2 linked regions of the Nothobranchius furzeri genome follow. The protein of the gene in region 2 purifies or fractionates together with the protein of the main gene of each other region. This does not show direct contact. Links are inferred from orthologs where the notes say so. Each region holds a gene or a part of one and is shown on either strand. Other genes may lie near its edges. The genes, in order: epn1a and phgdh.

Region 1 (3,818 bases), on a different chromosome or scaffold from region 2:
CAGACAAGGATGTAAACTCAACTCCTTTTGTTTTTTTAATAACTTTGATGGAGACTGAGGACGGAGATGAACTGCAGCGATCAAGCAGCCCTCAGATTTGCAGCGAACATGTTTTTACCGGGTAAGATTAACGTTAATTTATTTCACGAGGAAGACAGGGACAGGGATGAATGTGATGTGTTTATACTGGTTATTGATAAACCTGATGGATGGGTATTTCACCACGGAGGATGCGCTCCGTCCACTGTCGTGTACAGCGAGACAATTATTAACAATATTAAAGCTCCGATGTATGATTACGTGGGTTAAAATTACGTTATTTATTCATATGAGCGTTGGCGTTCAGAGATCTTCTCATTCCGGTGTGAGAGCAGCAGCTGAACCCGGTAACACCACCAGCAACAGAAGCTGGTAGGGATCCGGACTTTTTAAAAATCAGCTTCGGTGTAAAGTGAAACGCTGTTTACAACATAAAGTTATAAATCCAGAGGGGTGAATTTAGGCAAAGTCAGCGGTGAACAGCTGCAGAGAGAACGTAAGCTAACGTTGGTAAGCTAGTTAGCATACCGCTAGATGCACTACTTCTTCTGATAACTGAACTGGGCAAGAACTAGTGGAAGGAATGCTGGAGGAGTTTTGTTTTTGTTTTGATCGCAAAAACAATTTCAGGCTCTTCTTTTCCCTTTGTTTAGTACTCGTGTCGCTCACTGTTTACATGCTTTTGCCGTCCAGCATGGTGGACCCACGTGATTAGGTGACGTCGGTGCAAAGGGTCAAAAGGTTTGATTTTTTTATTTTATACAAACTTTATGAGAACTCCTGTTATTCTGTTATGTGCACAGTTGCTGTGTAAAACCTTTTGGCAGTGAATGGGACGGACTACAAACACACATCTGACATATGTAGCAGATGAAGCTAAAGCCATGAGAGTGAGAAATCATCCACACACTGACTGATGTTTCACACACCTCTTCTGGTTTGGGTTTCTCCCTCTTGCTCTCTTCAATGGCCATCTGCAGTCTCAGATCATCGCCTCTGCGAAGCCGCTCCTCCTGCCAGTCACACACACACACACACGCACGCACACACACACACACACACACACACACACACACACACACACACACACACACACACACACACACACACACACACACACACACACACACACACACACACACACACACACACACACACACACACACACACACACACTTACTGGACAACTAATCTCTGAACCTGTGGAAACTGATACTTCATTCATGATTAACACTAATCAACCAATTAATCCAATAGTCATGCATGTTAGAAGGCCCGAGGAAGCTTTCTTACTTTAATGAAGTTTTACTCGGGAAACAAGTCAAATGGAAAACAAAAATAAATGTAACTTTAGACGGTTTAGATGAAGAAACTGCTGATTCTGCTCCATTTCTGTCATGATAAATGATAGCGCCTCTCAGAGGAAGGACTCCAAAGTGCTTTACACTACAGTGTATCATTCGTCCATTCACACACACATTCACACACTGGTGGGGATGAGCTACAATGTAGCTACAGCTGCCCTGGGGCGCACTGACAGAGGCGAGGCTGCCGAGCACAGGCGCCACCGGTCCCTCCGACCACCACCAGCAGGCAAGTTGGGTTAAGTGTCTTGCCCAAGGACACAACAGCAGAATTCTCTGTCCGGAGCCGGGATCGAACCAGCAACCTTCCGATTACTGGACAACCCGCTCAACCTGTTGAGCTACTGCTGCCTACTACAGCCAAACCAATGGATGAAAGCAGATAAACATTCTATCAGTTAACCAGCTCTACTCTATTATTAAGAATCTTTTAGATGCATTTAAACAAACCACCTTTTATACAACTATTACAGAAATGATTGACTATCAATCAGTAAATTAACCAACATCAATACCATCCTCTTGGAAACACCCACTTTGATTCACAGACTTAAAGGGACTTTACTGACTTTTGAATTTTTATGCTCGCGATTGCCCCCTCAGGCCAAAAGCGTAATGGCAGCTTCAATAGTAGGCTCGTGCACGAGGCGCGCATGCTGTACGTGCGCACTCCTTAACGAAAATAACAGCTGAGACAGTTCCGTGTGTGTGTGTGTGTGTGTGTGTGTGTGTGTGTGTAGCCATTAATGTAAAAAAGAAACTAAATGAATTAAGTTCACACCCAGAATTGAACCCAGGTCTTCTGCATGAGAGTCAGACATCTTACAAGGTGAGCTACACTCTAGTAACATTCACAGTATCTGTAACATTTATATCCTTGATGACAGCTGAAACAACATCAAACCAAAGAACGGTTCGGAGTGAAAATGGCTATTTTGTTGATATTTTGCAGGAAATATCTAGAAGAAAGTTCTACAGAAAGTAGCTAAGGGTCCTCAGAAATGTAGCTAGCTTTGTCACTAGGCATTAGGAACAGCGACAAAGTGGCACTGCCTCTCTCTCTGCTGCTAAAGCTACAGATAGCAAATGCTACGGGCGATGCCTGAGCGTGAACGCGCATGAAGCAGCCTGCTCGACCCGAGCATCTCTCTTTTTCTGTGATTTTACAGAAAAACAAGCAATCACAGTAAAAATGCCAGGGCTCATTCTACAGGACCAGGGCATTGCAGGAGAATGTATGAAGAAGACATTTATTATTTCTATACACGTTTTGGCTGTCAAACTTCCATAATGTCCCTTTAACTCAGGTAGTTCAGTCAGCTGACCAACGTACTACTTGAACCCCAAGTTTTGCACCAAGTAAACAAATCAATATAAAGTTATTACAGCAAGAAAAGGTGCAGCAGGTAAGAAAGTTTTTCAGATCAGTGCTGCAGTTGAATGCATGCTACAAGAAACGGAGGGGGAAAAAATCAATACTTACAACACATCCATTCATGAATATGTCATGTATTGGCAAATATCATGCAAATTAATTAATTACGTTTGATTACTGTTCAATCCTTTCAGGGTTTGGCACGTTTTTAGGATTATGAAGGGATGTGACGCGGAACAGCAAAGTCATTTATCGCAGAATAACTGCAGTCTTGTGCAAAAAAGAAAAAAACACATCCAAGAAAATCCCAAAAGACAAAAGCAAGCATAAAGTTTGTTGATTAATCAATATTTGGTATGCACTTGAGTAATTCCAAGTGACAGGAAAATAGATAGTTGATGACGGGCTCTCCACTCAGCAGAACACACTCTCTGCCCCTGACCTTTTGGTGAATCTCTTTGCTGAGTGTGATTGCATAGCGAAGCTCTGCATCCTCCAGAGGGTCCGCGCTATTCTGGGGGAGGTCAGTGGTTAAATGGTGAGAGCCAAGCTAGGTGTTCTGCAGCAGCAGATAATACGATTACACTGTTGCTGCATTGCACTGAAACAGCAAATGTTGCTTAAAAAAAAAAAAAAAGAGCGTGTAAGCTAGCGCTGCAGGCTAATAAAGAACTCTGTGATACCTGTTCTGCCTCTTCTTTGCTCATGGCCAAAGCCAGCTGAAGCTGAAGGTCTTCCTCCCCTGAGCTCTGAGGCCACGCCTGCTCAGGATCTGCCCCTAAAGAATGAGAGCCCATGGACAGGCTGCCACCAAGGCTGGGGGCTGATGGGGCTGAGGATGCTGCAGTGGACACACATATGAGAAATATGGCTTGTATCCAACCACTGGTTTATTGGAGTTTAATGTAGATGACTTGCCACTAGTGGTTTGTGCCATTTTTTCTTTGGTTTTGAGGGCGTGGATCCTCTCCTCTCTTAGTTTTTCTTCATCTTTCAATAAGGTCACAAGTTGTTTGGCTTTCTCTCGTACATTCAGACCC
Region 2 (3,918 bases):
TGACTCACATGCCTTTTAGACCTAATTTTAATAGTTATATGTTACAAAACAACATTTCGATGGATATTTCCAAAGATTATTAGTAAAAATCACACATTGTCTCTGTTTTTAATTAACAAGTGTAAAAATGTTATACGATGCTCTGAACCAGCTTCACAGTCAAGCCTTTTATGCTAAATTAAATGTCTTTTAGGGTCACAGCATCTTTTTTTTTTCACATTTTTTCTCCAATGACACAACCGCCAAACTCAACAGCACACAACAAACACTTTATTTGTATTTTACTTCCAGCTTGTCGAACAACTAAACACCAGAATGTTACAAAAATACAAGTTTTAAACTTTTGCAACTGCTAAAAGAAGATGTTAACCATAAAAACAAATCCAAAACAAGGCATTCATCCTAAGAGCTTTAAAGATTTTTCAAATACTAAATGTTATTCTGGGACTATGGTTCCCAACATCCTAAACACAAAGCTGAGCTGCATCTTTAACCAAAGGCTCCAAGGCACTGAGATCTTGCAGGGGAGAGGACACCCCCACACAATACCACACATCCCCGGTGTGGTCCACAGGAGCGCTGAAAGACTCGATCTGCACTCCCTCTGAGGCCAACACTCCTAAAAAAAAACAATTGGAAAGGGAGTAGAGGCGTGAATTTAAGGGGGAAGAGTCCAGAAACATTGTAATTTAGAACTCCTAAATCAGCACCTTTCATCTAAACTAAGAACTGTCATGGGTAAAAGCATCAGAGTGACAGAAGATGTGATTTAAATCACACAATTCCCCTTCAAAATAAAACTTTTAGTAAATCTTTAAATTAGGGTTGCATTGCATCGACAATCCAGCAGAAATATCCTGAAAATCCTATAAGTAGTGTGCCAGGATGTACTTTAATAGCTATAGTTATTTTTGCACATAGATAACAAAAATAGCTAAACTAATAGCTATTTACACAAAGGTTGGAAAAACTGAATTTTTGAGACTGGGTAAGATTATACTAACTCCTTCCGGTCTTGCCTCTACTCAAACTAGCTGTTAGCTCATCAATCTGCTGTGGCCCCCAGACTGGAACTCTCTCCCTCTGAGCCTGAGATCAGTGGACTCACTCAGTGGACATTTTTTAATCACAATTGTCTATTTTTTGCTCATTTTAAATAATTTTTTAACCATTTTCTAAATTCTTTTTTATATTTTTACATTTTCTGTTTTTGTGAAGCGCCTCGTGACTTTTATCTTGAGAGGCGCTGTAGAAAAGATATTTTCTTCTTCTTCTTCAATCTGATTAGATTTAAACTATTCCTCTAAACTGAGTTTGTTCAATCTAAAGCAGGTAAGGTATTCTTTGTTCACAACCTTTAAACAGAGCCACAATTAGAATTATATCCACATTAAGCTAAAGTTTGCAAAAAAGATCATCTAAGAAGCAATATGTTTCATTAGCATTGATAATTTCAGGGTCAATGTACGGGTGGAAATCCCTGATGGTCACCACGGTGACAATGATTTATGAGGAAATGGTTCATCAATGAGTGCATTTTTATTTATGTCTTCCATTTCAAACTGGACTTTACATCTAGCACCCTCACACAGAAGGACACATAAATAAAACAATTGTTTTAATTAAACAGTGTTGATTTTGATGCAGTCATGTGTTTCCTCACCAGCCACCGAGGACAGCAGCTGAGGACTGGCAGAGGCCTGGAAGAACAGCAGATTTCCAGCCAGAGTGACGGGTTGTCTGAACACGCTGTCGCTCAGCCCCAGCAGGACAGGAACGCCTCCTAGAACTGCTCCGATGCCCTTTAAGCTGCAGCCATCGGCTTCGATCACCACCTCACACACACCTGCTGCTACCCCGCCAGACTCACAGTGGGTTTGATTCACCTGAAGACATAGTTCAGTCATTAGTTCTTGGATGGATAACAGACTACTGTCATGTGGTATTTGTTATTACCGTGATTCCGGTCTCCTTGGTGAGGCTCAGTACGTTGATGAGATTCGGGCAACATCCTGATTCCCGACTCATAAGTCCGACGAGTACCGCTGAGGTCATGAACCCGGTGCAGGACTTCATGCAGTCCCCTAGTTTGCGGAAAAAATTGAAGCAAGGGAAATAATTAGGACAAGAACTGGTCATATTGTGATTGCACCACTAGAGGGAGAACAAGAAACAGATAAATTACCTTGAGTGGTGATTTGAACACGACTGAGTGGTTTCTTGGATGCACTGCAGGACCGAAGCACCGCTCCAATGGCTTCTCCGAGTTTGATGAGCTGCTGAGACTCCTGGGAGAACGTGCTGGCTAAAACCTGGGCGTTCACCTGTACGAGGAGGACACAGAGGCAAAGTGTGGTTTGGTGATGCTTCACCATTTTGTCACACCTCCAAAGATTTTGGAAAGTTCCACTAGCATGTCCATTGAAACAAATGTTTATCTGACTGATTTCTCCTCTCCAAAGAGGGGAAAAAGGGAAATTTGAAGGACATTCGAATGAAAATAGCAACATCCTCCAGGCAGTGCGTAGTAAACAAGTGTGCAAATAACTGCAGAAATGAGACAGTGAGCATTGTCATCGACCTGTGCCACCGCATTGTATGTCTGTGATTTCTTAAATTTGGATGCCAGTCGCTTAAAATGATATTATATCATGTTCAAATATGCACACCAGCACTGTTATCATTCAACAACATTTTTCAGCAGAAATGTTTTTCCACCTTCTTCTCAAAATTCCCATGCAGCAATGGATTGTGGGTAATACCCTTCGCCAAAGTCTACGTCCATGCAGGCCTCAGCAAAGTGAGCATCAAGGGAGCAAAGGAGTGGGGCCGAGGTCTACACTAAAGAATCAGGACACCCTATGCAGTGGCACCACTTCAGCTGAATATGTGATGCTCCTGAGCCGAGGTGAGTGACATCACCCCCATCTCACTCTATCTGACTGATTTCCCACAGGTGACAGCGGAGGGGGCCGCAGCTGCAGAACATCTCCAATCAGGGACGCGGGTATAAAAGGAGGATGGTGACTCCTCATTACGCCGGATGATTGCCCCTGTATAGGTAGTCCCAGCCACTCGCTCTTGTTTTGTGAACTCGTCACTCGAATATAGGATATTTAGGATTATTGAACTTGGACCGCTCTGATTACTCTTTGGATTACCCTGAAATCTGGATGTTGTTTGTTCTCTCCAGAATCCCATTCAACCTGCCTCAACTTGCTGTTTTACTGACTGGACATTCACACCACGTCCCATCCTCCTCCGCTATGCCTGGTTGGATCCCTTCCGCTGTCTAACCTGTTTCCTGATCACCCCTGGACTGACTTGAGCTCACCTCGGCTTCCTCACCTCGATCTCCCCGAACGTTTATGGACTCGAGCTACTGCTCACCCTCTCCACAGGACTTCCCTGTGCACCTTTTTTTCCAGTTAATAAATAAAGACTTTAATTTCATCCTACCTGCTCGTCGAGTCAGATTACTGCATGTCTTGGGTTAAACACATACCACGAGACATGACAGAATATAAGTTCCTGGTACATTAAACATACGCATAAAAACTGGTTTCACTTCATCTTTAGGGCTCTGCAGGGTTTAAATCCACTTCTCTGTTTTCTACAAAGTTCCCAAAATAGAATCCCCCAAACATGTAAGAACAAAGCTGGTAATTAAAAAAAAAAAAGCTACATGAAAGTAAAATTAGACTTACTGCTCCAACTAGGTTGTTCCCCTTCACCATATCCACTATCTGCAAGGCGATGTCCTCCCCACAGCGAGCCTGAGCCTCCTTCGTACTGGCTCCCAGGTGAGGGCAGCTGATGACGTTTGGATGCTGCACCAGAGAGCGGTCCTTCGGCGGCTCCTGCAGCCCATAACACAAAACGTACACAGGAAGAATTCGGCAACACTGCAGATGTCTG

What was found.
Region 1: the proteins of phgdh (region 2) and epn1a purify together in Homo sapiens (affinity purification with mass spectrometry; 3 studies listed by BioGRID and IntAct, with this or other methods). This does not show direct contact. The link is inferred for Nothobranchius furzeri from reciprocal best matches to the Homo sapiens genes PHGDH and EPN1.

The regions. Positions count from the first base shown.
Region 1 is NC_091745.1:76,109,982-76,113,799, reverse strand, and holds part of epn1a (epsin-1), read right to left. Parts: intron 3,818-3,818; coding exon 3,697-3,817; intron 3,620-3,696; coding exon 3,462-3,619; intron 3,293-3,461; coding exon 3,221-3,292; intron 1,053-3,220; coding exon 969-1,052; intron 1-968. UniProt on the Homo sapiens protein: Binds to membranes enriched in phosphatidylinositol 4,5-bisphosphate (PtdIns(4,5)P2). Modifies membrane curvature and facilitates the formation of clathrin-coated invaginations. Regulates receptor-mediated endocytosis.
Region 2 is NC_091754.1:20,298,867-20,302,784, reverse strand, and holds the end of phgdh (D-3-phosphoglycerate dehydrogenase), read right to left. Parts: intron 3,861-3,918; coding exon 3,708-3,860; intron 2,325-3,707; coding exon 2,186-2,324; intron 2,085-2,185; coding exon 1,957-2,084; intron 1,887-1,956; coding exon 1,664-1,886; intron 620-1,663; coding exon 465-619; 3' UTR 249-464; downstream 1-248. UniProt on the Homo sapiens protein: Catalyzes the reversible oxidation of 3-phospho-D-glycerate to 3-phosphonooxypyruvate, the first step of the phosphorylated L-serine biosynthesis pathway.